4 linked regions of the Pelodiscus sinensis genome follow. The protein of the gene in region 1 interacts with the protein of each later gene in a pairwise test. Links are inferred from orthologs where the notes say so. Each region holds a gene or a part of one and is shown on either strand. Other genes may lie near its edges.

Region 1 (7,979 bases):
ATGTACAGTGTAACTGCTTTAAACAACAAAAAAATATTTGGCTGGTAGGTTTCTATATATTCCTGTGACAATACTGCATTGGTTGGCCTGGTAGATTCACTATATTCCAAAAACTTGCAGAATGTTTTTGTAGTGTTACTTTTGTGTGTGCTTCTGTGTGTGCAGACAAATTCCCATCTCCACCCAATATTAAAAACAAATGGTTGTCTTTAATCTGGGAAGTATCCTTCTATACATTTCTTATGTGAACCACCAAAATTCCAACTTAAACAATATCTCGGTAAAAAATATTAGAGTCTGGAAGTTGTAATAAAGAGATGAGAATACACTCGTTCTGTGAATTCATCTCATTTGTTTTCATGTGACCATAAAACGGGTAGAAAAAACCTACAACTTGCCTATGTAAATCATTGCAATTTGGTTAATGTAGACTGAAGCTACACAGCACTCATTGTAGAATCATGATCTTAATCAGGACAACCTTGAATACTCTTCTTATACATTTAATCTTTCCTTAGCTAATTAGTGGAAATCAGTAAAAACATCTTTTGTGCCACAGAAAAGTCTTATTTTTGTCCAGGGAACCTAAGTACTGGACTATTTCAAACAAATTGTTTAGAAGAAATTACACTAGTTGAATCCTAATCATATATAATATCAGACAGCAGAATGTCCAGTGGAATAGCGTGATACTATTAGGCATTAACATAACTAATCTCTTCAAGAGCCTTACAATTTTAGGCCTGGCTGGTGCCACTTGATGAATTAAATGTGACAGGATCTCAAAGATGTTAACCTACAAGTTACCATAAATAAGATTTTGGGACAAATCAAAACACAAAATGTGCAAAAGACTTTCTGAAAGAGAGGATGTTTACATCTATGAAAACTAAATTCAATGTTTTAAGTGCTCTAACAATTTATCGAGTTTTTCCTATCTGACATCATTGAATGTATTATTGCAAATAGAATTAGTAAGTTAAAATACAGAGTGATGTACTTACTGAAGTTGACTACAGGGTTTCATGATCAATTAGAACTATTGATAGATTTTATACAACATTCATTTAACATCTATTTAAATGAATTAATGTTTTATTCAAAGAAAATAAAGGGAAACTCAAGTTGCAGTGTTCAAGACTTAAAAATAGTTTCAAGTACCATTCTTCCCCTGCACATTTTGATGGTTTTACAGACACATTTAAAGTGTTTCTCTATAAAAACTACAAAAAAGAAACTGTATTTAAACTGAAACTAACTATACAGAAAGGAAGGTTAAACAAAGTTAACTGGAGAAGTAGCAAACAAAATGCTCAAGCTTTCCCTTGTATTACTAGGAATTATCAGTAAAAATAGCAGGCAAAACTTTTTCAGAAAACGAAGGGTTGTTTTTTTTTCAGTTTCCAAATGCCCATTTAAATAGGTGCTTCTTTTAAAAGAACAAAATTCTTCTCTTGGGAATACTAAAAATAAATGACTATATAAATTATAAAGCCCCCTAGTAAAATTTGGTTATAAGTTTAGTACTGTTCACCATATAAGGAGGGAAAAAAATCTTTAAAAACATGTTAATATTCCAAAGACAAGAGGACAAAACATCTGATGGCTAAGTGCACACTGGTTCAGAAAGTATCAATTCAAAAGAATTGCACTTGCAAATAATGGCATGAAAAAAATTGGCATGTACTTCGTTATGTATCTGTTTCTGTTATTTCCACTCCAACTCATCTGATGAAGTGAGCCTTTCCCACAAGACATGCATCTGACGAAGTGGGTCTTTGCCCACAAAGCTTATGCTCCAACACTTCAGTTAGTCTATAAGGTGCCACAGGACTCCTCGCCGCTTTTCCCACAAGAGCTCATGAGCCTATATGGTTTTGTTAGTCTCTAACATACCACAGGACAACTTGCTTTTCAAGTTACAAACTAATACAGCTACCCCCTCTAAGATCCACTATATCATTTGTGCAATCAGCTGTCAGTACGTCTAAGCCCCAACCTCTTTCCATTTACAAAAGTACACAAGTGACACTTGGGGCGAAGAAAAGGGGGGCGAACAGCCTCTCAATTTTTATTTACAATCCATTTTGAGCGTAGAAGGTGCCCCTGGAGGAAAAAAAAAGTGTCCCTTCCCAAAAAACTCACCATGTAGTGTATGTGCTATGCTGGGGTGGAGGGGAAAGGAATTACATCTGCCTCACCAGCCCTTTTGATAAGAGTATCGCAACCACAGAGCGGCTCCCTCAAGATTGTGATACCCATGGGAGAATAAATGTAGGGTGCCCCCCATGCTAGCCTTGCAGCCATGGACATAGTGGGACTGAGGACTATGGTGGGGCAGCCCCCCCCCCGCGGGTAGTGCTACCCGTGGGGGAAGGAATAAAGTAGCGCAATCTCCCCTTAACGCTAGCCCTGCAACCACTGGGGGGGGGGTCTGAGCCCCACCCCTCCTAGGACTATAGTGGGACAGCACTGGGTTGGGCAGCGAACAGCCCCTCCCCCACAGTGCGGCGGGGGGGGAACGCAGAGACACCCCCCGCCAGAGCCCCACACGGGGGGGGGGAAGCCCCCCCCGCAGAGACCCCACCACAGTGCAGCCCCACGGGGCGGGGGCCTGTCCGCCGGGGCGAGGGGGGGGGAGTGGAGAGTCACCAGAGCCCACAGGCAGGAGGGGCGGGGGGAGAGCGCCCCCAGCTGGGGGAGAGCCCCCCCCGGCTGGGCCCCTCCCTGCGCCTCTCGCTCGCGGCCCGGTTGCTAGGCCAAGGCGGTGAGGAGCGGGGCAGCCGTGCCGCGCCCCGGCCCTCAGGCCCCAGAGAGGCCGGCCCCAGCCAGCCGGCCGCGGGGAGCCGCGGTTACCGTGTGTGGTGACGAATTCTCGTGGTGTTTGTCGAGCGGCTGCGATAATGGCGTCCTTCCTCGCGAGAGATCTCCGCGTCCTCACTGCGCAGGCGCTGCGCCGCCGCGCCGCTCCCGCTCCTTCCCTCGCGCCCCGCCACCGCCCTCCTCGAGAGGCTCGCGCAGCCGCCTAGAGAAGCCTCCCCGCAAACCGCCCTTAACCGCCGCAAGGCCGATGTTGACTACAACTCCCAGACGCCCGTGCGCGAGGCCTGTGCTCCCAAGAGGCAGGCTGGGATGTGTAGTACCGTAGCGTGCCCCCGTGCCTGCTGGGAGTTGTAGTCCAAAAAGGCCCTGCGTTTTCTAGCCCCATTTTATGCCAGTGTGGTGTCACCCTTGGTAATTACACCCCCTCCTCTCACCACCACACTGAGTCACAGGCGGGCTTGTGTGTCTGGCTGTTGCTGGAAACGGACCATACCCATTTTTCTGGTTTGGATCTGGTATCATGGGCTATGTCTACACTGGCATGATTTCCCGGAAATGCTTTTAACGGAAAAGTTTTCCGTTAAAAGTATTTTTGGAAAAGCACGTCTAGATTGGCAGGATGCTTTTCCACAACAGCACTTTTTGCAGAAAAGCGTCCATGGCCAATCTAGACGCGGTTTTCCACAAAAAAGCCCTGATTGCCATTTTCACAATCGGGGCTTTTTTGCGGAAAATAGTACTGTGCTGTTTACACTGGCCTTTTTGCGCAAAAGTCTTTTGGAAAAAGACTTTTGCCCAAACAGGAGCAGCATAATATTTCCGGAAAAGCACTGACGATCTTATATGAGATCGACAGTGCTTTTCCAGAAATCCAAGCGGCCAGTGTAGACAGCTGGCAAGTTTTTCTGCAAAATCTAGACACAGCCATGGGGTTTTGCAAAACCCGGTCTTTGTGACACATACAGACCTCGTTTGTCTACAGATGGAATTGAACCTGACACCTCTGGAGCTCAGTGCATCTACTGCATGAGCTAAAAGTTAGCTTCTTTTTAGCAAAGGCTGTAGAGCAGACTGGTTATTCTTTCTGCAAGTGGTCTCAGTGTTGTTAGATGGTAATAAGAGATCTGGGGTTAGCAGCACTCAGTATGCCATGGTGACATAGAAAACTGGGACAATATGCTGCTTCCACAAGAGGATCCCGGAGTCACTGAGCAGCAGTAGCCCGGTAGAAGGGTATAGCACTTCAGCAGGCCTGCTCCCAATCCATATGGATTCTGCATATTAGAGACAGCAACAGGCAAGAATAGCTGTCAGAGTAGGGTGACCATATTTCCCTAAGCTGAGTATGGAACACCTGGTAACATTACTCATATTCAAGAGAGCTCAATGACAATCAATCAGAACCATGCAGTACAAATGTTCAAATTAACCTCAGGTTGACTGAGACCCTGTTAAAATGAAATACCACATAGCTAGAATCTTTTTACTTTCTTATTTTCAGGGTTTGCACAAGGAAAGTTGACATGCACACATTCCTGTACACTCCTCTCACACAGAGATGGGGGTAACTGACAGACCTGACCCAACCCTCCCTATCCAGTGCTCTCTACCCTTCACGCCTGGCTAGGCCTCCTGGGACAGATCCATCTCTCCTGGTACACCTTCTCAGGACAACATTTGGAGGCATGCAGGGTCACAGGTCCCCTCCCCAGATTTCTGTTGGAGTTCATACCAGAACATGGCAAAGAGCAGCCTTTCGTCACTGTGCAGGAGGGAAGGGAGGGGAGCTGCTTCCAGTTGAAGAGGAGAGAGAGTGGGGATGCCCTGGCTCATGTTTTTCCAGTGGTCATTTCTTCCCTCCCACCCTCTCCCCTATGGTTAGAAGCAGCTTGTCCCTTCCTGCCAGCACCATGTAGAAAGGCAACTGACACCTCCAAGCTGCTGCTGGTCACGGACACAGCCCCCAGTTGCCTCCTGTCCCTGGTGACAGCACAGACAGGAAGGGGTTAAGCCTTAAGGATGCCTTGCGCACCAGGATCCAGGAAACCTGGCTGCAGGGGCATCAGCCAACCTGGCCAGAGAGGGGGCTCAGCAGGGGAGAGTGCCCAGGGGACAAAGCAGCCCAGCACTCCCTAGGGACAGGACTTAGGGCATGTGAAGAGGCTGCTAAGCACCCTGCTTGGGGACCTGCAGGGATGAGGAACAAACAAGCTGGAAGCAGCTTCCTCCCTGCCACTCCAGAGCTTATCCAGGGAGCAGAGAAGCTTCCTCATGCCGGCGGTGTGAAGGGCTTTGGCGCATGAAGGTCTCGGCTCTTCCTGGGCAGTGCCTTAGGCCAGAGGATCTTGACCTTTCCCTGGGTGCAAGACCAGCCGGAGGCAGTGAGGGAAGCCAGGCTATTGGTAAGATGAATGATCTGACCAGGCAGTGGCTGGTTTTCTGCACAGTGCCGGGAGTGGGATGTGCCTCACCAGGAGGGAGATGTAGCAACAACAATGCGGGCGGGGGGGGGGGGGGGAGTGAACAGGCACAGCAGGGAGAGGACAGTGAGATGGGAAGCATGTAAATGGCCATTGGGTGGGCAGCAGAGGTGGCACGTAACTAGCCACTACCTGCCCATGTTCCTCAGCCACTGGAGCGAGCAGCCAGAGCTGGCTGGCAATAGGGCGGGGCAGCCTGCTGGCCAGGAGTTGGCATGCAGAAGGGACTCCATGGATGGACAAGTAGGAAGAACAACTAGCCACACATGCTGCAGCTTTAGCTGACCACGAGCCTCACACACTCAACTCCGTCGTCAGCCACTGGACCCCGTCCCATCCCCTCGCCTCCTCACTCACCACTGGTGGTTGGATGGCTAGTGAGCAAGGATACTGGCCAGTAGTAGAGCCAGTTGTGCCCTCTAAGCTTCACAGCTGATTAATCAGTCCCGCCCAGTCAGTCAGCTCTGTGCATGGAGCCCTAAGCCTTTGATTCGGCAGGGCTGATTAATCACCTGTGAAGCGATACAGCCTCACAACTTAGAGAAAACACTGAGTAGGACCCACCGGTACTGATGGGAGGAAGAGAAAGAAAATATAGGACAATTTGCTCATTTTTAAGAAAAAGTGGGGACACCTGCAGGAAGGCTTAAATATGGGACTGCCCCTTTAAAAATTGGGCAGCTGGTCAGTCTATGTGGGAGGTATCATGGGGAGTGCGGGGATCATGGAGCACCATAATCATGGGAAAAGAAGAAGCAAATAAACAGGGGGATCTGAGCGGATCTGCTTCCATGAGCAGGGATGACAGCCGCTGGCATCGTGCAACATTAACTACCCCAAAAGCAGCAGCACCACAACTACTAAAGTGTGATTGGAGCAGATCCTGAGGTGACAGGTCTAGTGGTGAGTTGAGGTAAAGAATTGATAAGATCACTGCCTTGAAGAGAAGGACCTAGAACCAGGGTGTAAGGCTGAGACTATGTTTTGCATTTAGAGACCATCTTCTTCTCCAGTAACTGTGTAGCACATAAACATGCCTAATGTAAAACAGCGGTGCATGAGAAGAGCCTTGAAGCTCACAGCCAGATTCTGAAATAGATGTCTTAGATGTCTCATTCCTTTTAGTTATTTTTCTCCTCCCTTGACATATCGGTTCCACTCATTTTGCACAGCCACTGACTCCCAAATCCATACAAGTTACAGCACTTTCCCCCACTATCCATATTTCTACCTATTTATACCACCGTTTATGTCATTGTTGAATTTGGCTCTAAAGCTAGCAAATGAGTTGAAATACCTTGCTGCATTTGGCTGATTGTGGCTCTGTCGTCCGGTGGATTGGGCCTGTAAGAAATATCTATGATCTCTTATTATTAAAAACAAAATGTGGCCACTAGGTGGTAAACTTAAACAACAAATAGTCTAGCAGCACCTTAGAGACTAACAAAAAATGTATATGGAATCATGAGCTTTTGTGGGTATAACCTTCTTCTAGGCACAGGCCCAGCTAAAAGTATATCAACTCCAGTAACGGTTTTTGGCTCAGTTTACTGGGGAGCATTATTTTAGATTTTTACAATAATCAGTGCCAATTTGCTTTTTTTTTTTTTAAATAAAGCTTTTATTAAGACAGTCTTTATATCCTTCTTGCCATCTCAATCCCCATTTCTCCATGTCCATAGTATTTACACAGCCAGAGAGGGATCCCTGCAGTGGATATGGGAAGGAGTGGTGGCAGATATAACAGGTGGAAGAGGTAACTTTATCCTCCCACTTCTTCCATGCCTCCACCCACCTCCTCTGATCTGGATTTTCATATATGAACTTGGGTCAAATTCCCATAAACTTCAACAGGAGTGAAAAATGAGTGAGACTTTCCAGATAATAATGGCATTCTTTATTTATATAGCGTGTCCTACCAGAAGATGTTTTAATATTCCCACACAGATGAGAATTCGGGATTTTTTATTTTAACTCAAAAATCCAAATTGTGGCCCACATTTTGTATTGCATATATGGTATAATATATATATATATATGCAAACTTTTATCTAAATTGCTATTAACATTATTTTCTCACAGAAGACATCTTTTTTGTTTTCTCTTTGTTTTAGCTTTCATCTGAAAAGAATTCCTGGAGAAATAGCTACTCTCACATCTCCCATATGGATCTCCATGTTTAGCCCATTCGTCAGTTTCCCTTTCTTGCTCTTAGAAAAATCACAAGGCCAAGCATACCATCAGAGGTAAAAAATTAACTCTCTGTGCACACAGTTTTGCAACTGTACTAGCATCAGGAGAACAAATGTTGCCAAAGAGACAGATGAGTTCTTCCAGGGCTTTAGTTTAAACAAGTGACAGGCATTCACAATTTGAACTCATTGGTGTTTGCAGATGAAAACTGAACAAAGGAGGAAAAAAGAGGAGATGTACAGATAATATGAGCAGCTACAGAACATAAGCTACAGTAGCTCTTTAAGGATGTTTTCTTTTACCATGCATAAAATCTGTGATTAGGTAATTTGCAGATAAGATTATATCAGTGTGACCTATATTTCGAGATTATTGTTTGAGCTAACTTTATTAAGTTTCTGGACAATAAATGTTACACACTGGAAGAAGCATACACATGGCTCTAGACACATTGTGCTATAGCAGTACATAGAATTGACATAC
Region 2 (7,629 bases), on another chromosome or scaffold:
TAAACCAGCAAATCCTGATGTGTTCAATAAATTTGTTGAATCCAAATAACAAAATCATAATAATCCCACGTGTCAAATTCAGATCTGTGGACCTTTTTACTGATCCTTCCAGTCAGCCCTAGACTATATGTTGTGGAAAAAAATTGTCAACTGATGTAGCAAAGCTGTCTGTTGTTCCATTTCAAGCTATACTACACACTTACAATGACTTTTTCAGTGGTTAGGAAACCACATGCTGAAACCTTTTAAGTTCTTGCCTTGACACCAACCAAACTGCAGGTGGTTCCAATTTTAGACTCATGGCAAAAACCCGACATGGCAGGCATCCAGGAAAACTGGCAGACTGCAGAAGCTAAACACAATGCTCCAATTTACTATCTTTGGAACAGCTAGTTTGATGTATTAATTAATCTCTGCTGTGTCACTCATACTTTTGCTAAACCATAATTTAAGGACTAGAGTACATTAGACAAATATGTCAAGTTTAGTTTGGGGTGTCTATCTCAACCTGCTCGATTGTATTAAAAGGCATTACAATGCACCCATGCTAGCAATGTCATAGTAAGGTCAAGGTTACTTGACACACCTGGACCTTGCTTTCACACATCTTTCTATGAAGACCAACTCTAAGAAAGGTGCTACTGAACTACTTTTTTTTTATAGGTTACAGACTAACTAGGCTACCCTTCTGTGACTTCTAAGAGAAATAGTTAATTTTTTTCTTAAGAAATTGATACATTTAATAGTAAGTCTACTGGGTCATTTTATTTTTTAGTAGGTCCTAAATCCAAAATCGACACTATGCCTAAATTAACAGTATAAACAACGAGAAGACCTGTGGTACCTTACAGACTAACAGATTTATTGGAGCATAATTTTCATGGGCAAAGACCCACTTCGTCAGATGCGTGAATTCAACAAAATAAGGCATCTGACGAAGTGGGTCTTTGCTCATGAAAGCTTATGCTCCAATAAATTTGTTAGTCTATAAGGTGCCACAGGACTTCTCGTTGTTTGTGCAGATTCAGACTAACACGGCTACCCCTCTGATATAAATTAACAGTGTTTGTGTGCTATTTGTTCTGTGCTGAATAATCAGGAGTCATCAGTTGTATGTTATAACCCCTACACAGATAATAGTTGAAAAAGATTCTCCCTCATTCTAAGCGACAGATGTTTGAGCTTTTGGAGCATGAAAATCTGAATCCTAACTCTACTATCATGGTGAATTTCTGAGCAGCCTACTGTGCAGCACAGAGGCAAACAGGAAATCTTAGATTTGATGCATTACCTAAAGTGGCATTGGCTTCCCTTTTGTTTCACGTATACCCATCATACAGTTTTAAACAACTTGCCAGTAATGAGGTGGTTTAATACAATTAAATCCTCTGTTTCTTTTTTGTCCAGATTTTTAGGCTGATCTTTAATTTGATATTTTAATTGTATACTTTGGTTTAAGAGAGAGGTCATAGTGAATCCTACTGTTTTCTATTCTAAGAAATATTGTAAATGCAATAGACAAATCAATTCTGCTGGTGTGATGTTGATTTTTAAGTAGTTACCACTTATTGTTATTTGTCATTTTTAATTCTGTTTTAATAATATCTGAATTCCATGTTGATCCATTTTTATTAACATTTTCATTTCTAAGTGTAGACTAGCAATGATAATAATTAACTTAAAGGAAGTATTTTTAATTTTTGATTCCTAAATATTTCACTCTTCATGCAGCTAGTTCCAGGAAATGTTCATGGAAAAAGCAAATGAAAATTGCTGGCCTTTCATGAAATGATTCTTTTCTACATCACATAACTTAGTGGGGGGAAGGACCATGACTGGCATTTCTTGGTGCTACTGCAGCACAAATAAACAAACAAATGCACATTACTACTATTGTTGACACCAATGGAAATACCCCAGCAGAAATTTGGAACTTTAAATTGCAGAGAAGTGATACACAGGTTATATGCAAACACTTCCTATCAATAAGTGGTTGATTAATCTGATGCATAGTGTGAGCTGGTAAAAATGACTGGTAATTCATTGTGCTTTTACAGAGGATGAACATACATGTTTAATAAACTCCAGGATAATAAATAACATGCTAGCAACAGGGTTAATACCTCTTGGCCCATTTGGGCAGACTATTATTCAACAACTTCACAGGAGTATTGTGAGAAAACTTAAGATAATGTTTTTAACATTCATTGAAGATGTGAATAGCTATTTATTAATAGTGATTAACAAATATATAAATGAACTCTTTACTATTATACAAAATAATTATTATGTTAATAATGCGTTATTCTTCAGTATTAATACATGGAAAACAATGACCTGTTTAATATATAATTAAGAAAAATGCATATGATTTGATTACTGTTACATCTATTATCAATTAAGCATACTGTCATTCATTTTGTAACTGTGTGCGCTTATTAAATTACTGATGATTTTTAAATGTATCTATTAATTATAAATGTGATTATGATTATTAAGGATTTAAAACATTTTATGTCTCTATGAGAATTTTAGCTACTGATTAAGTCTGCTGGAAATCAAAAGTCTATGGTGCCTATCTAGTAAGATTCTTAAGAAAGTGCCTAATTTTAATGTCTGAGCTGTCTCAATAAGTATTTTGGGATTAATACTCAAATATAGGCATGTGCTTAAGATTCCTGCTCAAAAGGGTTTGTATATCCACTTAGGCAGCATCTACAGATTTCCTATACACTTCCTCATCCACATGTCAATGTGCCTGAGTTCTGTCCTGCAACAATTCCCCATGGAGGATAGCAAAGGAGTTCAATTTCCATTGTCCATTTATTCCTTGGTCTCTGCTCAAACTGCCAGTGAGGAAAGAAATTAGTGCCAAATACTGATGGAGTTATGGTGTTTATGGGGAGTATACAAGACCATATTTTTAACTACACCTCCTATCACGGAGTCCCCAAAATAGCTATTGATAATGACTTTTTATCTTGATTGACTAAACGTGGTTCAGATTCTGGCCATGTCACGAATCACCAAAAGGGGTTACTTGCTACAAGTGTACCTTGAAGTTGCAGACACATTGCTAACCACAAAAAACTTGTACCCTCTGGAGGCTCCAGAGTCTAATCCCAACCACATCATTAGCCATCAAAGAACCTTTACCTGTTTTGGGTGATAGGTTTGAATCCTGTGGCTACACCAGTAATGTAGGTGGGAGGAGGATAAAAGTTGCCAGTGGCAGGTTTGAATCCCAACCATGTTACAAATAACAAATTATTATTATAACATTGTATCTTGCAGATGGGGCGTTCTAGTGCCAGCCACATTGCAAACCACCCAAAAGCCATTAACTACTGCAGGTGGTGGGCTTGGTTCCAGATTTACCCATTTTGCTTACCAACTCTGCAGGTGGTGGGTTTGAAACCTAACCGTATTATTAACTATACCAAAGCCAGTATTCACTGCAGGTTATCTATTTGAAACCTAGCCATGTCACTAATAATGCCAAAGCTGATACCTATCATAGCAACTGGGTTTGAGACCTATCCATATAATGAACTATGTTGCAGATGGGTTTGGGACTTTGTCACACTGCTAATGATTCCAAAACCTATGCCCACTGAAACTGGAAACTGTGATACCTAGTCATACCGGTAACCATGCCAAAGTCAATACCTGTTGCAGATGGTGGGTTTGAGACTTAGCCATATATAATTAACCATGCCAAATCCAATAACGTATACAGATGGTAGGTTGGAGACTCAGCCATATCATTAACTATGCCAAGTCAATAACTGGTGTAGGTGGTGGGTTCAAATTCAGCCATATTATTAACCATGCTAAAGCCAATAACTAGTGCAGGGAATGGGTTTGAGACCTAGTCACGCTGCTAGCCATGCCGAGCCAATAACTGGTGCAGATGGTAGAGCTGAAACTCAGCCATATTATTAACCATGCCAAAGCCAGTAACTAGGGTTGCCAGGTGTCCGGTTTTGAATCGGAAAGTTCAGTATTTGAGCTTTCTGTCTGGGAAACAAATTGAAAAAATATAAATGAGAAAATATAAATGTCCGGTATTTTCTAAATAAGATGTAATGTAGACTGTGATGTCATCTCAAGTGTGTCCGCTATTTTTGTTTAAACCATCTGGCAACCCTACCAGTAACTGGTGCAGGTGATGGGTTTGAGACCCAGCCATGTTGCTAGGCACGCCAAAGCCAATACTCACTGCAGATGACGGGTTCAAGTCCTGACTCCAAATGCCCTTTGTCACCTGTAGGAAAAGTTAGGATACACTGGAAACTGGCTTGGACTATTGACTATTTGGCCTCCATGAAGTAGTCCAAGCCTGGCAGACCTGCTCGCCATCAGGCCCTTCAAAGGCGGCGTTGGCTACCCCTTGGGTCCCTCCCTCCCAATTCTCCCTATTCTCAGCTATTTCTGGACATGTGGGAGTGGGGTCAACCTAAGAAAAAAATCCCCTTCTGTAACCAGCCTCCCTCCCAGAGAATCCCCCCCAAAATTGTGCCTCAGACAAACTTCCCCATGACAAGGTAGGCTGCGCTTGGCTCCCAGTGATGTCACCCCAGTCAACCAATCAGAGGACAGCGTTGGAGCTGAGGAGGAAATGACGTCACCGTATCCCTCCGCCGGCCCGGTCTCCTTTTTGTGTGTGTGTGTGTGTGTCTGTTGGTTCTTTCTGTGTGTATCAACCTGCAGCTTTTTTTGGGGGGAAGGAGGGGCAAAAATACTGGGGGGGGAGCTCATGCAACCTACCCTCCCCTCCCGGCCATTTCTCCCTGTAAGAGGTTGTGTGGGGTGCGTATCACTTTAAGAGCGTGTGCGAGCGAGCCAAGCTCGTCTGAGGAGGCGGCGGCGGCGGGAGACGGAGAGAAAGGTGAGTTGGCGCGAGTCCGTTATGTGGAGGTGGGGGAGGCGGACGCTGCAGAATCAACCGGGGGGGGGGGCGATACGAAGGGGCGGGAGGAAGAGGTTCGTGGCGCGCGCGCACGACAAGAATGCGGGTGGCGGTGGCCGTTGGAACCGGTTCGAACCGCCCGGGTCTGGGAGCGGGTGGGGGTTGGGGGGGGGCAGCGCGCGCCGTACACAAAGCGGCCGCCAGACGCGCCGAGCGGGGAGGGAGGAGGGAGCGCGAGCTCCGGTGTGGGAGGGAGGGATCGGGGTTGCTGAGGGGAGGGGGGAGGAGCTGTTCCCGCTGGGCGGCGGAATATCTGCTCGCTCGCTCGCCCGCCTTCGCTGACTGGGGAGGCGGAGTGATCCGCATACCCCCTCCTCTCGCTGAGGGGGAGGAGTGAGGCGGCTTTGGCTGCTCCCTCCGCTTCACCTCCCTCCCTCGACTGGAGACGAACATAACGGGGTTAAACCCTGCACAGAGCAACCCCTGAGCTGTCGCAAAGTGCCTCCCACGCTACCCTCCTGCTGGGTGCCCGGCCCTGCGGGGAGCAGGATCGCATTTTTTCTGTCTCCTTGCTCCCACCCCTTTCCAAGGGCTGCTGCTGGGTGGGCGGCCATGTTGGGCACAGGGATTATTTTCTCTACCTTTCTTCCAAAGCAGCCACAGTAAATGGAAACTAGCCTGTTTTTACTCCTGTGGGAAAGGTGTTATCTCCATCCTCTTTCATGAAAATGAACGCGAGGGGGAGTCCACCTCATTGCCCATCTGAGAGTGAGGGGGGCTTTTGGCCTTCCTGCTGCTCCCTCCCCCCCGACCTCCACAGTGAGCCCCATTTTTTGCCTACACACCCCAATGATCCCTTTGGGCTGCCTGCTGCTCTCCTCAGAGAAAGGAGGAGTTGATTGGCATGGCTGTCACTCCCAGAGGGTACTGCCTTAATGGGGGAGGGGGGAGTTGCCCTTGGCATACTTGCTGCTCCTAGGGCCGGATTAAGGGGGGGGAGTTAGCTGGGCAGTTGCCCGGGGCACCTGATGGCAGCTGTAAGGGGTGCTGTGTGCGTGGCGCCCCTTAGAGCTGCCATCAGACGCCACATGCCCGGGGCTGTGGGCCACACCGCCCCTTAGAGCTGCAATCAGGCGCTGCACACCCGATTGCAGCTGTACGATGCGCCATGCGCCCGGGGGCAGAGTCACACATGCATTGCATGCCCGCTGCCTGGGGCGCAGAAATGGCTCAAGCTGGCCCTGGCTGCTCCCCAGAGTGGGAGGGAGTTTCCTTAGCGTGCCAGCAGCTTCTGTCTATGAGGTGAGTGTGACTTCCCTGTGCCTGACATCTCAGTGAACCTGGAGGTCCCCAGAACGTGCTTGCCATTCCTCCCAGTGCAAGGTGAAGCCATGGCTTCCCCGCTGCTTGGAGGGAGCGACTCCCCTTTTGCTTGCCTACTATTTTCCCCCTTTCAGAGTGGATGTCTGAGAAACATTGGACACCTGATATTAGGGCACTTTTTAACTTGCCCTCTGTTTACTCTGTTTTGCTGGGTTCTAGCATGAAGAATATGTGGGGATTAGGTACAGACATGAACATCCCATGTGCACCAACACCAAGCTCTCTGCTTTATGAACTTGGCAGCAGTTGCTATCACCAGTCTTCATCAAGTTAATTTTTCTCACAGGCCTGCTGCTCCTTTTGGGGGACATCCTGCAGGCATTTGAAACTAATGGCCCTTCTTCATTTCAAATCCTGCTATCCACTGTCTTTGTTTTTCCCCATATATACTTGCATGTGTGTATGTATGGATGCATTGTTGGTATATATGAGCATCACAAATGCTCAGACTCTGGGTCCATATAACTAGACCCCTGAATCCACAAAGAGCTTTGTGGGGAAGGCAGGCTCCTCCTGCACAGTCATTTGCAAGATCAGTGCCAAAAGTGATGAGTATGTTACAAGAACTTGAAGCTCATGGGCAGGCCCAGTCTCCCAGGAAGATTCTCCCATACCCCGGATCTCTTCTATGAAATCCCAATATTATAATGCTAGTCTAGGTGCACATGTATAACAGAAAGCAAGTTAAACACGTTTTTTTCATTTGCAGCTCACAATGTAAGAGCAGATAATTTAACATGCAGTAATACATTTTAATTAATAGGTATTATGCACTGAAAAATCTTTAATAAAACATGTAGCAACCCAAAGTGATAACATTTGTAGACATTTTAATATACTCGCTAAAGCAGGGGTAGAGAACCTCAGGCGCAGGGGCAGGATGCAGCCCTGGCCCGTCTGGATCCAGCCCCTGGGGTTCAGGGCTCCTCTCAGCATTGGGGAGCCCATGCTGGTGCTTCAGTTCCCTTGCAATCCCCCCACAGGGCTGGAGCACATAAACTCTACTAGCTTGGGCCCCTCTAACCTCTGGGGTGCAAGGGGAATGTGAGGAGCTTCCTCATCAGTCATGTTTTTTTTCTTTGCTTCTCACTTATGTGTGGCCCCCGAATGATTTTTCTGTGGGTTAGCGGCCCCTGACCCAAAAAAGGTTTCCCGCCCTTGCTTTAAAGTAATCCTGATAGCCAGTGAACTGAAATGAACCACCTCAGCCAATGAAAAATAAATTTGCCTTGCTCTAGACCAGAGGTGGGCAAGAGAGCCTCTGTGGGCCAGATCTGACCTGCAGATGCCCTGCCTCTCCTCCGCCCCCATGCCAATCGGCCTCCCCTGCCAGG
Region 3 (7,442 bases), on another chromosome or scaffold:
TACAGCTGGATTTCAGCTTTCATGCAGGCAAAGCCCTTCCTAGCTGGGAAGGAGCAACGTTCCAGCCAGTGTGACACAGTAACTCCAACTGCCGTGTCTGTTTGACAGGGCTGTTGATTCTGAAACCTACTGATGGTAGCGGAAAACTTCACTACTACAGGAGTTTTATTCCACTTAGTGGAATCCATAGGGAAGGTCTCTGTTTTAAAGGTGAAATGGAGTGAATCTCAAATACATGATTGTATTTCTTAGGGCCAGAATCTTGGAAGGAGTGGAAGAAATGGAGGCGAGGGGGAGGTGAGGGTCCTTCCTATGACTGGGGACTCTAGAACTTAGCTAGACTCTGCCTAGGTCTGCTGGAAACTTGGAGGCTACGTTTACACTGCAGGCTTCTTGCACAAGAACTGTTTTGCATGAAGAGTTCTTGTGCAAAAGTTCTTGCACAAGAGAACGTCCACACTGCCATGTGCTTTTGTGCAAGAGATGTGCTTTTGCACCAGAGTGTCCATGGCAGTGTGGATGCTCTCTTGCACAAGAAAGCTCTGATGGCCATTTTAGCCATAGGGATTTCTTGCACAAGAAATTCATGTTGCCTGCCTACACTGGCCTTTTGTGGAAGAGCTCTTGTGCAAGAGGGCTTATTCCTCACGGAGGGAGGAATAACTCTTCTGGAAGAAGCCCTGTTTTGCGACGCTGGCTGTAAATTGTACTTGCGCAAGAACACGTGTGCAGTGTAGACACCCAGCAAGTTTTTGCACAAGAACAGCTGTTCTTGCATAAAAAGCCTGCTGTGTAGACGTAGCCAGAAAGGGTGCAGAGAAGCGTTACAAACGTTATTGAAGGGCTGGGTCTGTCTGGCCTGTGACATGATTGTGGTGTGAGTATTGTTATTATTCAGACTTGGCACAGGAGTGGGCAAGATATGGCCCATGGGCCAAACTGTTTGATCTGGCCCATGGCCCGCCCTGCCACGCCCCCATCCCCAGGCCAATTGAGACCCAGAGGGAACCGCCCCTTCCATCCGAGGCCTCGCCCTTCCACGTGACGCCCCGCCCCTTCCGGGGTCAGCCCACCACCACTACCAAAATTGGTGAAGTGGCTCCCCTCCAGAAATGATTGCTCGCCCCTGCCCTCGCACCGAGGCGCCCCTGTCCTGGACCAGGTGCTGTGCACACACCCCACCCTCGGAGGGAGAAAACACTGGGTGCAGAAGGGCTGTTTAAACCAGAGAGCGGGGCCCGCAATGCCCTTAGCAATGAAGCACAGATTTGTACCTGGGCGGGTGACTAGTATCGACTGCCACAAACTCCTCATGAAGGCGTGAAATTCCTGGCCTGATCTATGACCCCTCCTGGCCTTAAAATCTGTGTGTGACCTTAGGCAGCACAGCCTGGGTTAGGCAGTTTGGGGGTGAAGAACCCCCCGGTCCATCCGCATCCAGCAGACTTGGCGACCAGAAATCCCCTTTGGCTGCACCCCAAACTGACCCCCTTCTCTTCTCTCCCAGGAGGGACCCAGAAAATTGCTGCCCTTTCCCTGCCCCTGTGTGCCACACATCTCAAAGTTGGGCAGTGTCATTTAGCCCCACATTACAGATGGGGAAACTGAGGCAAGGCACAGCAGCAAGGCCTGCTTTTAAGTTGAGTAGGAGGCCGAGGAAGAGCTGATCCGGGAGCCCGGGCTGCTAACCCTGGGCTGCAAGCACTGAAACGGCCCTGGAAGATCTTGGCCAGACAGGTAGGATTGTAATGAAAACCGAGATTAGCATGGATGAAACAAAATAACTTTTATTGGTAGCTCACCATGCACTCGCTAGGCTCGGACCCTGCAATTCCCCCGGGAGGGCTGGAGCTGGGACCCGAGGAGCGGAAGGACTGTGTGCACTGATGGTAACGGGCAGAGTTGGGTCAATTTGCTTTAAAATCCCCCACTGAATCCACACAGAAAGTTCCCCAGTGGTGCGCAGCCTCTTACTGTAGGATACGAGCACCGCACAGCTTTTTAACAGGTTTATCCTCATAACCTCCCTGGGCACAGCTAGTAGCCCTGTTGTGCTGTTGGGGCCAGGGAGACCAAGGCTCAGATCCTAAAAGAGACTCAGCCTCTTGACTTCCATGGCATGCTGGGTTAAGTGATATGCCCAAGGTTGCACAGGAAGCCGGTGGCAGAGCAAGATAAACTCCAGGCCTCCAAAGTCACAGGTTAGGCCTCACCATCACTGGTCATCCTTGGGCCGGGAATAGCCTGCTGATTTCCAGAGCCCCTTTATATCTCCGCAGCGTGGGGCACTGGCTCCAGATGTGCCTGGACACCTACCAGGCCTGGCTGTCCAAAGGGCTAGGGCTACATTCCTCCCCCAGCCAAAGGGGGCTGCAGGCTCCTAGCAGATCACATTCCCTGCCCCCACATCTGGAGCGCTCGGCCTAGGTGAGTGTCCGCTCCCGAGCCAACAGGCAGCAGCGCTGTCCCCTGGGAACAGGTGTGGCTGCTAACCCCCAGGAGTCAAGGAAGGGAGTGAGAAAGAGAAGGGGAGGAACAAACGGAAAAGGCAGGGAGAGGAAGTATAAAGGTGGGACTGGAGAGGCTGATATCATCGTCCTGCCAAGCCACATGCCTGCATTTACCCAGGGACTCAATCCCCGTTCACTCTGAACCCTACTGGCAAACCACATGGAAGTGCTGTGCACTGTCCCACGGCTGCTCAGCCAAGGCCCGCTCTGAGAGCCCCACTGGCGCATGGCTGGCTCTCCGGCACCGTTCCCTTCGCCCTGTTACAACTCACACGGAAGATGCCCCTGCACGGGGGGAGGCTCAGGCGCTGGCACACAGAGGGCACCGAAATCTTACCCCAACCTGCATTCCACGCTTGAGCAGCACGGAGGAGGGGGCATGTTCCCACCTCTTTGGCCGCATGGCTGAAAATACGATGGCGATGAAACAAACCAGACTGGTCCCAGGAGACCCCCAACTCGTGTCCTGGGGAAAGCCAGACTCAGGAAGTGTCAGGAAGGAACAGGAACTGGTTTAAAAACGGAGGGAAAATGGCCCCCTTTGGCCTGGCCGCGCAGGGGGAGGGTCCCCAGCAGAGCTGCCGTAGGCCCCAGGGGGACTGTGGCCCAGTCGCATGCAAACTTGCCGGGGTTCCAGGCTCCTTGGAAGTCTCCTCCGAAGGCACCTGCTCCTCCCCCCGCTCCGTCCAACATGCCTCTGATCAGCAGGGGGGCCGGGCCGTGGGGGCGCGCACACTGAGACCACGCTGCAATAGTAGCGCACGGCGGGAGCTGGGCTCGGCCAACGTGGGGTGTTTCGGGGTCAGGTGGGGGGTGCCGGGTTCCTAACACTCCTCCAGAGCTGATGTATAAAAGCTTTTCCCCTGGGGACCATGTCCAGCTGGGGGAGGGGGGGGGGGGCTTGGCAGATTGGTGGGGCAGTGTCCAGTGCGGGGCTGCTGGCCGGGGTGTTTTGCCTGCATGGCGCAAGGGGCCCTGGTGGGGAACGGAGTCGGGGAAGGCACGTCCGGGCTGGCGGGGATATTCTCTTGGCTGCCACCAGGACCCGAGCCTGGGCACCCTGGAGCCAAAAGGGCCAAGGCCAGGCCCTCCACGCTGGTTGGGTTCATACGCCCCTCCGGAGCTTTCTAGCGGGTGGCCAGGGAGCAGGTGTGAAACATCAGGTGGGGGGAATAGCCTCGGATGTGTGTGTCCCCCCCCACGTCTCTCTAGGACACTGCGCCCCCAGCGGTGGGAGGCAGATGTGCCCCCCCCCCCGGCGTCTCCGGGACACTGCGCCCCCTCCCCGGCAGGTCGCGGTGCCGGGATGGTGGGGGACAGAGCGGCCTGCCCCCCTGGTGTCTCCGGGACACTGCGCCCCCTCCCCGGCAGGTCGCGGTGCCGGGATGGTGGGGGACAGAGCGGCCTGCCCCCCTGGTGTCTCCGGGACACTGCGCCCCCTCCCCGGCAGGTCGCGGTGCCGGGATGGTGGGGGACAGAGCGGCCTGCCCCCCTGGTGTCTCCGGGACACTGCGCCCCCTCCCCGGCAGGTCGCGGTGCCGGGTGGGCGGCGGGGAGCCGGGCGCACAAGCGGGCCAGGCGGGATGATCCTGCGCCCACGTGCTGAGCCCCACGGCAGCGCCCTCCCCACAGGGGCGCCCCTGCCCAGCGGGCACGGCCAGTGGGGGGCGGGGTCCCCCCTTTCCCTGCGCCTGGAAGCCCCGCGCCGCGCGCCCAGCCTGGCCAGGGAGCGGAGCCCTTTGTCTGCCTTTCCCACCCCGGGCGTGCGTGCGCGGGCGCGGGCGGGGGCGGTGGTGGGGGGGGGGGGGGAGGCTGCAGCTCCCCCCCCCCCGCCTCCGGATAGGAGCTCCATTGCTCTGGCCTGGCGGGGGGGGGCGGGCCATGAATATTGATGAGGCCGCCGGGGCGCTATTGTGCAATTGGCGCGGGGCGGGCGGCAGGATGGAGGTGGGGAGCTGCGCGCAGCGGCTCACTCGCCCCGCGGTGGCTCAGGCGGCGGCGGCAGGGCGCGGAGGGGCCGCGGAGCCCGGGCTTTGTTAGCTGCACCCCCGCCATGGAGCCGCGCCCGCAGCCCCAGTGACCCCCCGGCTGCGCCGCGCCCCGAGCCAGGCGAGGACGGGAAGGGCCGGTCGGTCCCCTTGGAAGGTAGGTGCGCGCGGGGGGGCAGGGCGCTCCGCGGCGGGGGGGCCCTCGGGCGGGGGGGGCGCCCCCCGGGGCCGGCGCGTCGGGCGGGGGGGTCTGGCTCGCGCCGCCGCTTTGTGCCCGGGGGCGCTGCCGGGGTTGGGGCTTTGTGCGCCGGGGCGCGACGCTGCTGCCCGCGCCGGACTTCGGGTGCGGGTTGCCCGGGAAAGGGGGTTTCCATGGCAACAGCGCGGATGCCCTGGGCGGGGCGGGTCGGTGCGGGGCGGGGGGAGCGGGGTCGCCCCGTTTCCCCCCCCCCCCCCCGGGCGCGGCGGGGCGCGGGGGCTGGCGCTGCCCCGGGTGCCGGGAATTCACGCGCGGGGCTGCGTGGGGGCGGGCTGGGGGGTTTCCAGCCCGGGCTGCTGCCGGGGGGGCTTTCCCGTGCGGGCCCGGCCGGCTGCGAGTGCGGGGGGGTCTGGAGCGGCGCTCGGGCTGTTCCAGCCGGTTTCAGGCCCTGGACAGTGTCTCCGCGGGGGCAGGGCGAGCCTGGCCTCTGGGCCCGGGCCTTTCTGCCTGGCTGGCGGGGGGGGGGCCGGAGCCCTCCTAGGACTGGCCGCTGCAGATCCAGCCCTGTGAGCCGGGCGGGGGGCGGGGGCTGTGCCACGCTGTGACCCCCCCCCCCCCCGCTGCTGGCTTGGCTGGCCGGGGGGGCCCGCTGGGGTGTCTTACCTTGACTGGCGGCTGCGAGCGCGCAGGCCGGGAGCCGCCGGGCCCCCCCGTGTTCGCGGACAGGCGATCCACGTGCACCGCAGCTCCCTGCCCGGTGGTGTCGTGCTGCCACTGCCTAAAACTGGCCACGACTCGGAAGTGCTGTGGGCAGCAGCCCCCGGTTGTCAGCCGCTCGCTGGGGAGGCTTTGGTGGCTGCAGCCGGCGCTGGGCTGGCTTCGGTGCAGTGTGTTTTCCAGCAGGGAGCCAGGCCAGGAGGTGGGTGGGGGGCTCCGGGGTGGGGCCAGCTGGTTCTGAGCATCTGGGGAGCTGGAAGGGCTGAAGTTTGGTATCCGGCCTCCCCTGGTGTGCCCAGAGCAGGGCCATTCCTTGTCGCCCACTGGGACCCCCTGGCCAGGCCCCCTGTCCCTCTGCCCGGTTTGTTAGGACCAGCCCTAAATCCCTCCCTCCCTCGTCCTCCTGCGGACTTGCCCTCTGCACGTGGCCTGTCTGGAGTCTCCCGCCTCACTGCCCATTCCTGTCACTTTGACGCCAGCCCGGGGCGCGGCAGCGTGACCTTGTGGAAGGCTGGTTGGTTTGCACTGGGATGGGGAGGGGCTGCTGTGACTCGGCTCCCCAGTTTCCGAAGGCCTGGCCGTGCTGGCCCACGGAGACGTGGGGCAGGGCGAGTTCGTGCCCTGCTGCTGTGAATGGGCTCCCGTTCCGGGGACTCTGGACGCTGCCCCGGGACTAGCTGCTTTGGACACGCTGGTGCTGGAAGCCAGAGGTGCTGTGGGGGCGGGGCTCAGCACCTCCCAGTGCCGGGGAGAACATCCCCTCCCTGTTTCGAGGGACTCCTGTGGCTTCCCTCTTGTCCCGGGGGGGCTTTCCATCCCCAGCCTGGACTCGGCAGCGCCGGCCACTCGTGTCGGCTTCAGGGCCCCCAGAAATGCCCTGGATGCCTGGTGGCTGCAGGAAGGCGGATGTGGCCCCTGGGGTGCACTCGTGAGGGGCAAAGCCAGGAGGCTGGGGAGCTCCGGGGAGGAGAGCTCACGCCAGGCCCCCCAGCCTTGTGCTTTCTTCGGAGGCCCCGACCCCCGGGGGGCGGGCGATGCAAACCCCCCTCGGATGAAACTCTGCCCGCCGTCCCACTGTTGCCAGGGCAGCAGCTGGCTCTGTCTCCGCCCTCCCCCGCTGGGTGCGGTGCCCGCTGTCCTGGCAGGTTCTCCGCTGGCGTGTCGGCTCAGGGCGCCTTGGAAATAGTTCACTGGGTAACTGGGTTAAGCAGAGGCTCCTCCACCCACCCACCCACTTACATAACGCTGGGCGGGCCGGGCGAGTGGCCTGGAAGGTCAGGTTGTGTTGCCTCCATGGCGACCCGGTTGGCAGGGGGGAAGCAGCGTGTGGGTTCAGCCAAGGGCCAGTGGGGGGGCAGAGGACTGTGTGACGCACCCACCCAGCTGTGGCTGAGCCCACCTGTTGTGAATCTCACTCGGGGCCCTGGCGAGCCAGGGAACCTGCAGCCACCTCCGAGGAGACGGGCGGTCCCGGGGCTCGGAGGGCAGGCGGGCAGCGGCACCTGGCCCCGGGGGGGCAAGCGCAGGACAGGCCCAGACCTTCGCTGAGCCGCACCTGAGAGCAGCCTGGGCCAGGCCCCGAGCTGCTTAGCAGCTGGATTCCCGGGCAGTCCGGCTCCCACGGTCCATCAGCCTGGGGCTTGTTTCGCTGCCCTTTGCCAGAGACCCCCAGCGCAGGGGGCCGGCTGGGCAGCCAGCGAGCGGCAGAGCTCCCAAGGCAGAGGGGCTGGATGAGCCCTGGGACCGTAGCGCTGCCATTAGCAGGGGGAGGGAAGGTGGCCCCGGGGCCCGTCCCCAGGGCACTGCTGGATTGCCCTGGCTGGAGACCGGCGAAGCAACCACTGAGCGAGAACTGAAAAGTTACCAGCCGCTGAGCGGGCGGGACTGGCTGGAACCTCTGAGCACGGACCCAGAGCCCGGCTCTTGAGCGGTTAGTCGGGGGGCTCACGGTTTGGCTTCTGCAGTCCACTGACCCCCTGGGCTGGGCGTCGGGGGCCTGCACTTCACTGGCTGTCAAGGGCTTGGCGA
Region 4 (7,108 bases), on another chromosome or scaffold:
CACTTTGCGGGGCTGGAGTCTGTGCTCTGTCCCTGGACTCCGAACCTACAACTCAGCCATGTGGCACAACACAGCACCGAGCAGGTTTAAAATCCCAGGCCGTGACGTTACATCACATCCGGGCGTCTCCCCACCCACTGGTTTGAGCATGCTGTGCAAGGCAGCAGCAGCCAGCAAGGGGGAGCTCAGAGAAGGATGCGCACGGCAGGGACAGGACCAGGACAAGGACGGGGGAGAGATGCTCTGGGGCCGGGGTGGGAGGATGCGCGGAGGGAGGTGGGGTCAGGACCCGCTCCAGCTCCAAATATTGATGGAGCATGGGCACCACGAGCCCACACAACTCGCCGCCCATGCCTCTGCTGGCTAGCTGACTCTCTCTCTCTTTTTCAGAGCGGGCGGGAGAGTGCTGGCTCCTCGCGGAACTCCTAGTTTTGGTCCGCAGGACCCCAGGGTTCTAGTGTATCACACAGCTCCTGGTACTGAACTGAGATTAGCAGTCTACAGCAGTGGTTCAAAACCTTTTTTTAAGACAGATACCTGTAAACTTAAATAAACCTGCAGATCCCCTCCCAGAAGCGATAGATAGGGTAGTGGGAGGCACATGGAGTCATGTGTCCCCCACCTCCAGATTTCTACCTTCCTTTTGGCCCTGCTCCCTGAAGTGCTGATGTAGCAGGGCAGAACAGTGGTATCTCTCCTCTAGGGATGTGAATGACTAGCATTTGCTTATTGGATAGTCAACACACTAGGCAACTAGCAGAAAGAGGCAGTAAGGGTCCGGGGAGGGGGAAACAGTAGAGAGTGCCTCAAAGCAGCAGCACTGCATAGAGCCTGTGACCAAACCCTGGGCTCCACGTGGTGCTGCTGCTTTGAAACACCGTGTGCAGCCAAGGTTACATGCGGCGCTGCCGCTTAGAAATGCCGCTGGTAACACAGGGCCAGCAGGGGGCTGCTTGAGTTCCCTGCTAGCCCCATGCTCCCCACAGTGCTTTTGTCTTTGAAGTGTAGCAGCAGCCCTGGGACTGTGCTACACTTCAAAGGCTGAGGTACCTTTACTGACTAATCAAATAGTGGATGCAAATTGCATTGACCATTCAATTAACCAATTAATTTAAATTTAACATCCCTACTCTCTTCAGCTAGCTGATGCCTGCTCATGGAGTCAATGTCCAAGAAGCTATCCCTTCTTATTACAGGTGGAGCTCTGCAGTGATGCTGCCTTTTTTGGTTGCATCCCCTTAACCCAGAAAAGCTGCGCAGCCCAGAGGGGAATCAAGAAGAGGAGGTGGCAGGGCTCAAGCTCAGTCCTTGGTGAACCCCCTGAAATCTGTTCAGGGATCCAGAGGGGATCCTTGACCTCTCTAGCTGAGAACCAGAGCTCTACAGAAGTACTACATTTTTTCTCAGTTTCTTCTCCCTCTATGTTTTTTGCTCTCATGTGTAAATGCTAAGAGTATTAGAAGTCAGACAAGTCTGAGCGCATCCCTAACCTTTCCTCACCCTCCCAAATCATCTTTGCCCTCCAGAAATACTTGTTCTGACATAGCACTTTATGTACGTAAATTGGTGTTCAAAAAGTGAATCATGTCCCCCTCTGTCACCAAAGCAAAAATCATTATTCCCAAATTAGACAGACAGACATCACTCTGACTTGTTTACAAGACACTTATGTGAGTGGAGGAACCAGGCAAGAACACAGTGTCCTGTCAAGCCCATACTAACCAACAGTTCCCACTGCAGCAAGTGCCATGCTCAGCAGTTGGGTTAGAACATGCATTACTGCAAGGATATGTCTATACAGCAATTATAAAATCTATGGCTGGCTCATACCAGCGGATTCCCATGAGGGGTCCCAAGCGCCAGCCCAACCCCAAATGACTGCACCATAATAAACAAGCCCTTGGCCCAAGCCCTGAGTTGCTCGGCATGAGCCAGCTGCAGGTTTCCAATTGCAGTGTAAACATTCTCTGACAGAAACTTCCCCCTCGCCTCGGACGCAGGGCCGCCTCAGCCCAGCCACGCGAGGGAAGCGGTCGTGTCCCCCCCGCCGGGGCCGCGTCTCCTGCCTGTCTTAGCTAGGCAGGCTTTGCACCGCCACAACCCGCGTCCCCACTGCCCACGCCGCCACCGCCGTGCACCAGCCCGACTCCCCGGCCGCCTCTCCCATCCACACCGCATCGTGCCGCCGCCCGCGGCTGAGCGCAGGGCCAGCGAGGCAATGCCCCAGCGCCCCACGCTCGGGTCTCCAGCGACCCCCGCGCGCACTCACCTCTACAGACGGGGGAGCTGGGGCTTTTCCTCTCCGGGGAGCTCCTGCCCTGCTCCGGCGAGCGCCGCCGCTGGCGATGCCGGACCCTGCCAGCCAAGGCGGCCCCCTCCGGCAAGGGCGGCCCGGGGGAGAGCGCGGAGCTAGGCGGCGGGGGGGGCGGCGGCGGCGGCGGCGGGGGCGGCAGTTGCTGAAGGCGCGGAGGGCTGCCACGCGACGAGGCAGAGGCGGTTGAGCCGCTGCTGCCCCCTCCCCCCGGCGTCTGCGTGGCCACCGCGGGGCCGGCTCGCGCGCTGCTGCTGCCGCCGTTGGGGGGCGCTGCGCGCGTGGGGCTGGTGCTGCGCGAGGCAGGCGTCGCGCGAGAGAGACTCCCGCCTGAGGCGCTGGCTGCGCCGCCGCCGCTCCTCGTGGGGCTGCCATATTGCTGCTGCTGCTGCTGCTGCTTGAGCTGGAAGGGCACCGTGGCCCGCATGGGCTGCAGGCGACTGCTCGCTCCCCCGCCAGCCGCCCCGCCGCCCCCCAAGGCAGTAGCAGGGGTGGGGGAGCCATTGCGCCTCATGCGCGGGTGGGACATTGCGTGCCCGGCGGCTGGGCAGCCCGCGGACGGCTCCTCGAGGGGGGTGCAAACACCTCGCGCTCCCCTCCCCCTGCGGAAGGCCCCTCGCACAGCCACTAGCCGGCCCGCCTGCTCCGTGCGCTTCATCAACAATAGTGCCCCGAACGCCCTGCTCCGCCCTCCGTCGCCTGCCATTGGACACGCCTCAGCCGCGCTCGCGCCGCTACAGCGTCCTGATTGGCTGCAGGGCGCGCTCCTGAGTGGCCGGCTATTGGCTCTTCCAGAGGCACTGTCCTGCGTGCGCGTGCCCATGTCCCTGCACGCGCTCCAGCTCGGAGCGGGGACCGGTCCGTAGCGCCGCGAGTTGCAGCCAGTCCGCGCGACCCTGGCCGGGCCCCGCGCCTCGGCCTCGGCCTCATGCAGGAGACGCGGCAGCAGCTGCCCAGCCGAGGGGAGTGATACAGATGAACAGTGTCGCCGAGCCTGGCCTTTGCACACTCACCTGCCCCGTCCCACAGCTCCTGCACCAGTGTCACATTTCACAGCTGGGGTCCCTACACCCAGCTAGTTCAGAGCTCGGAGATACGGGATTGGCCTGTAGGAATTCGGGATATGATGTCCCCCACCTGTGACTAGGGATGTTAAAAAACAGTTAATTGATAGTCAAGTAATCTCATGAATTCTTACTGGTTAGTTGACTAGTGTCATAAGCATGCACCCAGAGAATTTTTTTAAAATGCACTTTGACCCCTCCCTCCATTAGCCACACTCTCTGACCCCTGTTAACCACGCCCCTGGCCCCCATTAGCCACGCCCCTGGAAAGTTAACCCTCTCTGGGCAAGATGGGCACATGACCAAAAGTAAAAAGTGTTATGTGACCCCTGACCCAAGGACTTTTCCCACCATCCTCCTACCAATAGGGATTAGTTTGGCCACCACCAATCGCCCCCCTCCCCCATGGAACTATCCTGCAATTGCATTAATCCAATGTGTGTGACATTAATTGGAGTGGAGAGGCTGGGGGGGAGGAAGTGTTCCCTCTAAGAGTTTCCTCCCATGAGCAGAATGAATTTTGTGTTGTGCACCAGTACTGAGTTCATGTGGCTTCTTTTGGATGTGCCATTGTGGCACCCAAGTTATTAATAGCTACCTTTCCCCTCTGCTTCCATGTCTCTTCCCATTGCTCCATCAACTCCCCTGGTGCCTGCTGCTCCCCACCCCTCATCCTCCTCTGCTGTCCTGACTCCTGCCCTTCTCACTGCCCTCAGCCTTCCTGAGACCTGCCCCCCCCTCCACCAGCCCTTCTCTCCCCCCTGTGCCCACTCCTCCAGTAGCCCCACTCTGATCATGTGAGCTACCCCTCCTCATCCCCTCATCTAACACCTCCCTCTACACACCTGCCCTGCCTCTCTCCTCTGGTGCTGGTTCCTCCCCTGCAGGTGTCTGCCCTTCTGCTTCACCCCCAGAATCCACTGACACCTGCACCTTCCCTTAGCCCTGCACCCTCCTGGTGCCTCCCCCTTCCCTCACTGCCCTGCCTCCTTTGCCCTTTTTTCCCTGATGCCCATCCCCTCACCTCCCTCTGCTCCCGTTCTCCTCATGCCCCTGTGCCCTCACACATGACTTGCTCCAACCCCACCTTCCTCATGCCCACCCCTTCTTTCTAGCCTTCTCCCAGCACCTCCCCCTCCAATCCCCAATGCCCTTACCCTCTCCTCTTCCAGCATCACCCTGTCCCCCTCCCACTGACACCTCCCCTCCTGCCCTTTTCCTCATTGTCTCCACTTCCCCCCTAGCATTTGTGTCTCCTCTACCTTGCCCCTTTGGTGCCTTCCCCTTTCTTCCCCCTCTCTCCTCCCCCTCAGTACAAGCCCCTTCCACTCCTTCCCCTTTCTTCTTCCTCCACTCTACCCCACTGCAAAACCCCTTCCTCTCCCACTCCTTCCTCTTATACTCCTCCCGCCCCTTACCTTCAGCTTCTGCCTTACAGCTTGCAGTGCTGGAGTCAGAGCCATCCCAAGCTGCATGGCCAGGGAGGGGCACCCCCGGGGCACTGTATGGTGCTGCCAGGCCGGGCGGGGCTGCTTCCAGGTGCCTCAAGGGCACCGCACTGTGCTGCCATGCTGGGCGGGGGTGTTCCCGGGCGCCTCAGGGGTGCCGTGTTGTGCTGCTGGGCCATGCGGTGCTGCCGGGCCGGGTGGGGCCCAGGGCGCAAAAATGGCTTGGGCTAGCCGGCCCGAGACATTAGGGTGTGCCTGGGCACACACTGCATACCCCATGCACATGCCTATGACTAGTGTATGGTCCCCAGGGGTGGGTCCAGCAGCTAGTGTGCTATGGCCCCACTCTGAGGAGCCCGCTGCCTTTCCTTGTTGCTGCCTCTATATTAGAGGCAGCAGTGCAGGGTGCCTGGCAGGAGCTGGTCCATGAGAGCAGCCAGTTTAAATACTTCCTCCCCTCGCAGACCGGCTGCCTGTCGCCCTGTGTTGCTGCCTCTGATAAAAAAGCAGTAGCATGGGGTGGCAGCAGCCCATCTTGGGGGGGGAGGAGTCTGAGCTCCCAGACCCAGTATAAGCCAAAGCTGAGCTGGGCTGCCTAGCCACTCAGCTCCTAATTCACTTTAAATACAGAGTCACAGCAGGGGTAGGTCCCAGACCGGTCACAAGCCAGGACTGAGATGGGCTGCTGGCCAGTCTGCTAAAAAAAATTTACTGGCAAAGGTGGGAGGGGAGGGGTGAAGAGGGAGAGAAATGCATGTAGTCTATAGCATTAACCTATAAGCTGCTTATAGGTTAATTGGTTAATCAACTACACTATTATATCCCTACCCATGACCCAGTTAAACGTAATGTTTGAGCGGTTGACCATTTAAACCGGATTTTACATTCCTATTTAGGAGCTGGCTACCAAAGATCCTGGCTCTTTCCCCGTGCAACAGTCTAGCACACCTTTTTACACCCAAGATCACTTTTTAAATGACAGACCAAGCCAAGATCTACCACCTTGCCCCTTCCTTGAAGTCCCGCCCTCTCTATTCTCCTCCTCTCCATCACTTGCTATCCCCAATTCTTATACTGCTGCTTTTTTAAAAAAAATTCTTATGTAGGAAGAGGTTTTTCCAACATTTGGCCTGTCTAAACTGGACCAAATGTCAGAAAAAAACCCTTCTTTTGGAAGCCCCCTTATTCCTTGTGGAAAGAGGAATATAGGGGTGACCGAAAGAGCATGTTTGCTCTTCCGCTAAAAAAGTGGAAGAACAAACGCAACCCTGGATGAAGAAGAGTTTTTCTGGGATATCTCCAGAATCCTGAAAAACTCCTGCAGTCTAGCCGGACCCTCGCTGGGTTGAGTCTCTGGGGTGGGAATGAGGGATTTGGGTGTGGGAAGGGATGGAGGTGCAAGCTCTAGGAGGAAATCTGGATGCAGGAGGAGGTGGAGAAGGGGACACTGGCTCGGGGAGGGGGCAGTGTTGGGGTACTAAGCAAGCCCCAGGCTTGTGGATGCAAGGGTGCAGGAATTTGGGTTGGAGTATGTGAGGGGCTCAGGGCAGGGGGTTCACTGGAAGGCTCAGCTCTAGGGTCTGGGGAAGGGGGAATGCAGGAGTGGTTGTGCCCAGATGGGGACTCGGCCCCAATTGGGGGTTTGTTGGCCAGGCTTCATTTTTAAATAAAATACTATGTCAAACACAAAAAGTTTCTGCATTGTCTTTATGAGAATGGCAGGGAACCTGCCTTGAGTCAGGTGTCACTGACACATAGAAAACTCATTCGGGAGCAGGGGACACAGTACTGGGGAGGGGTGCTAGTAGGTTCTGGGGGCAGGGAACAGGGTGCCAGTGGAGGCAGGGGACAGGGGACAAGGTGCCAGTGAGGGACAGGTTTCTGAAGCAGGGGACAGGGTGCTGCGGGGGGACAGGTTTCTGCAGAGGGGAGCAGGCTGCCGAAGGGAACTGGTTTCTGCAGGGTGGGCAGGGTGCCAGGGGGGCAGATTTCCGCAAAGGAGGGGCAGGGGAGAGAGAACGGGGGCAGGAGGGCAGGGGACAGGCTTAGGGCGGGGGATAGAGAACAAGGTTCGGGGGCAGGGAGTCCCCTACACCAGCCACGGACGGAAGGCTCCATCCCACGCTCCCTCCGGGGACGACCCTCCTCCCTCCCACCCCCCACTACGGAAGGAAGCCCCGTTGAGCGCCTCTGCCGGGTCTGACCCCCCCCCCCCCCAGCAGGGAAGCCCTCAGGGGCGAACCCCTCCCCATGCACGCCTGCCCCGGGGCCGAAACACCCCCCTC

What was found.
Region 2: the proteins of BANP (region 1) and POGZ interact in binary tests that used the Homo sapiens proteins (3 or more experiments, as listed by UniProt). The two-hybrid records come from large-scale screens. The link is inferred for Pelodiscus sinensis from reciprocal best matches to the Homo sapiens genes BANP and POGZ.
Region 3: the proteins of BANP (region 1) and ZMIZ2 interact in binary tests that used the Homo sapiens proteins (3 or more experiments, as listed by UniProt). The two-hybrid records come from large-scale screens. The link is inferred for Pelodiscus sinensis from reciprocal best matches to the Homo sapiens genes BANP and ZMIZ2.
Region 4: the proteins of BANP (region 1) and FAM117B interact in binary tests that used the Homo sapiens proteins (3 or more experiments, as listed by UniProt). The two-hybrid records come from large-scale screens. The link is inferred for Pelodiscus sinensis from reciprocal best matches to the Homo sapiens genes BANP and FAM117B.

Annotation. Positions count from the first base shown.
Region 1 is NC_134722.1:5,025,766-5,033,744, forward strand, and holds the start of BANP (protein BANP), read right to left. Parts: upstream 3,018-7,979; 5' UTR 2,857-3,017; intron 1-2,856. UniProt on the Homo sapiens protein: Controls V(D)J recombination during T-cell development by repressing T-cell receptor (TCR) beta enhancer function. Binds to scaffold/matrix attachment region beta (S/MARbeta), an ATC-rich DNA sequence located upstream of the TCR beta enhancer.
Region 2 is NC_134734.1:15,206,315-15,213,943, reverse strand, and holds the start of POGZ (pogo transposable element with ZNF domain), read left to right. Parts: upstream 1-4,628; 5' UTR 4,629-4,891; intron 4,892-7,629. UniProt on the Homo sapiens protein: Plays a role in mitotic cell cycle progression and is involved in kinetochore assembly and mitotic sister chromatid cohesion.
Region 3 is NC_134738.1:4,833,550-4,840,991, reverse strand, and holds the start of ZMIZ2 (zinc finger MIZ domain-containing protein 2), read left to right. Parts: upstream 1-4,426; 5' UTR 4,427-4,655; intron 4,656-7,442. UniProt on the Homo sapiens protein: Increases ligand-dependent transcriptional activity of AR and other nuclear hormone receptors.
Region 4 is NC_134717.1:55,989,638-55,996,745, forward strand, and holds the start of FAM117B (protein FAM117B), read right to left. Parts: upstream 3,014-7,108; 5' UTR 2,970-3,013; coding exon 2,270-2,969; intron 1-2,269.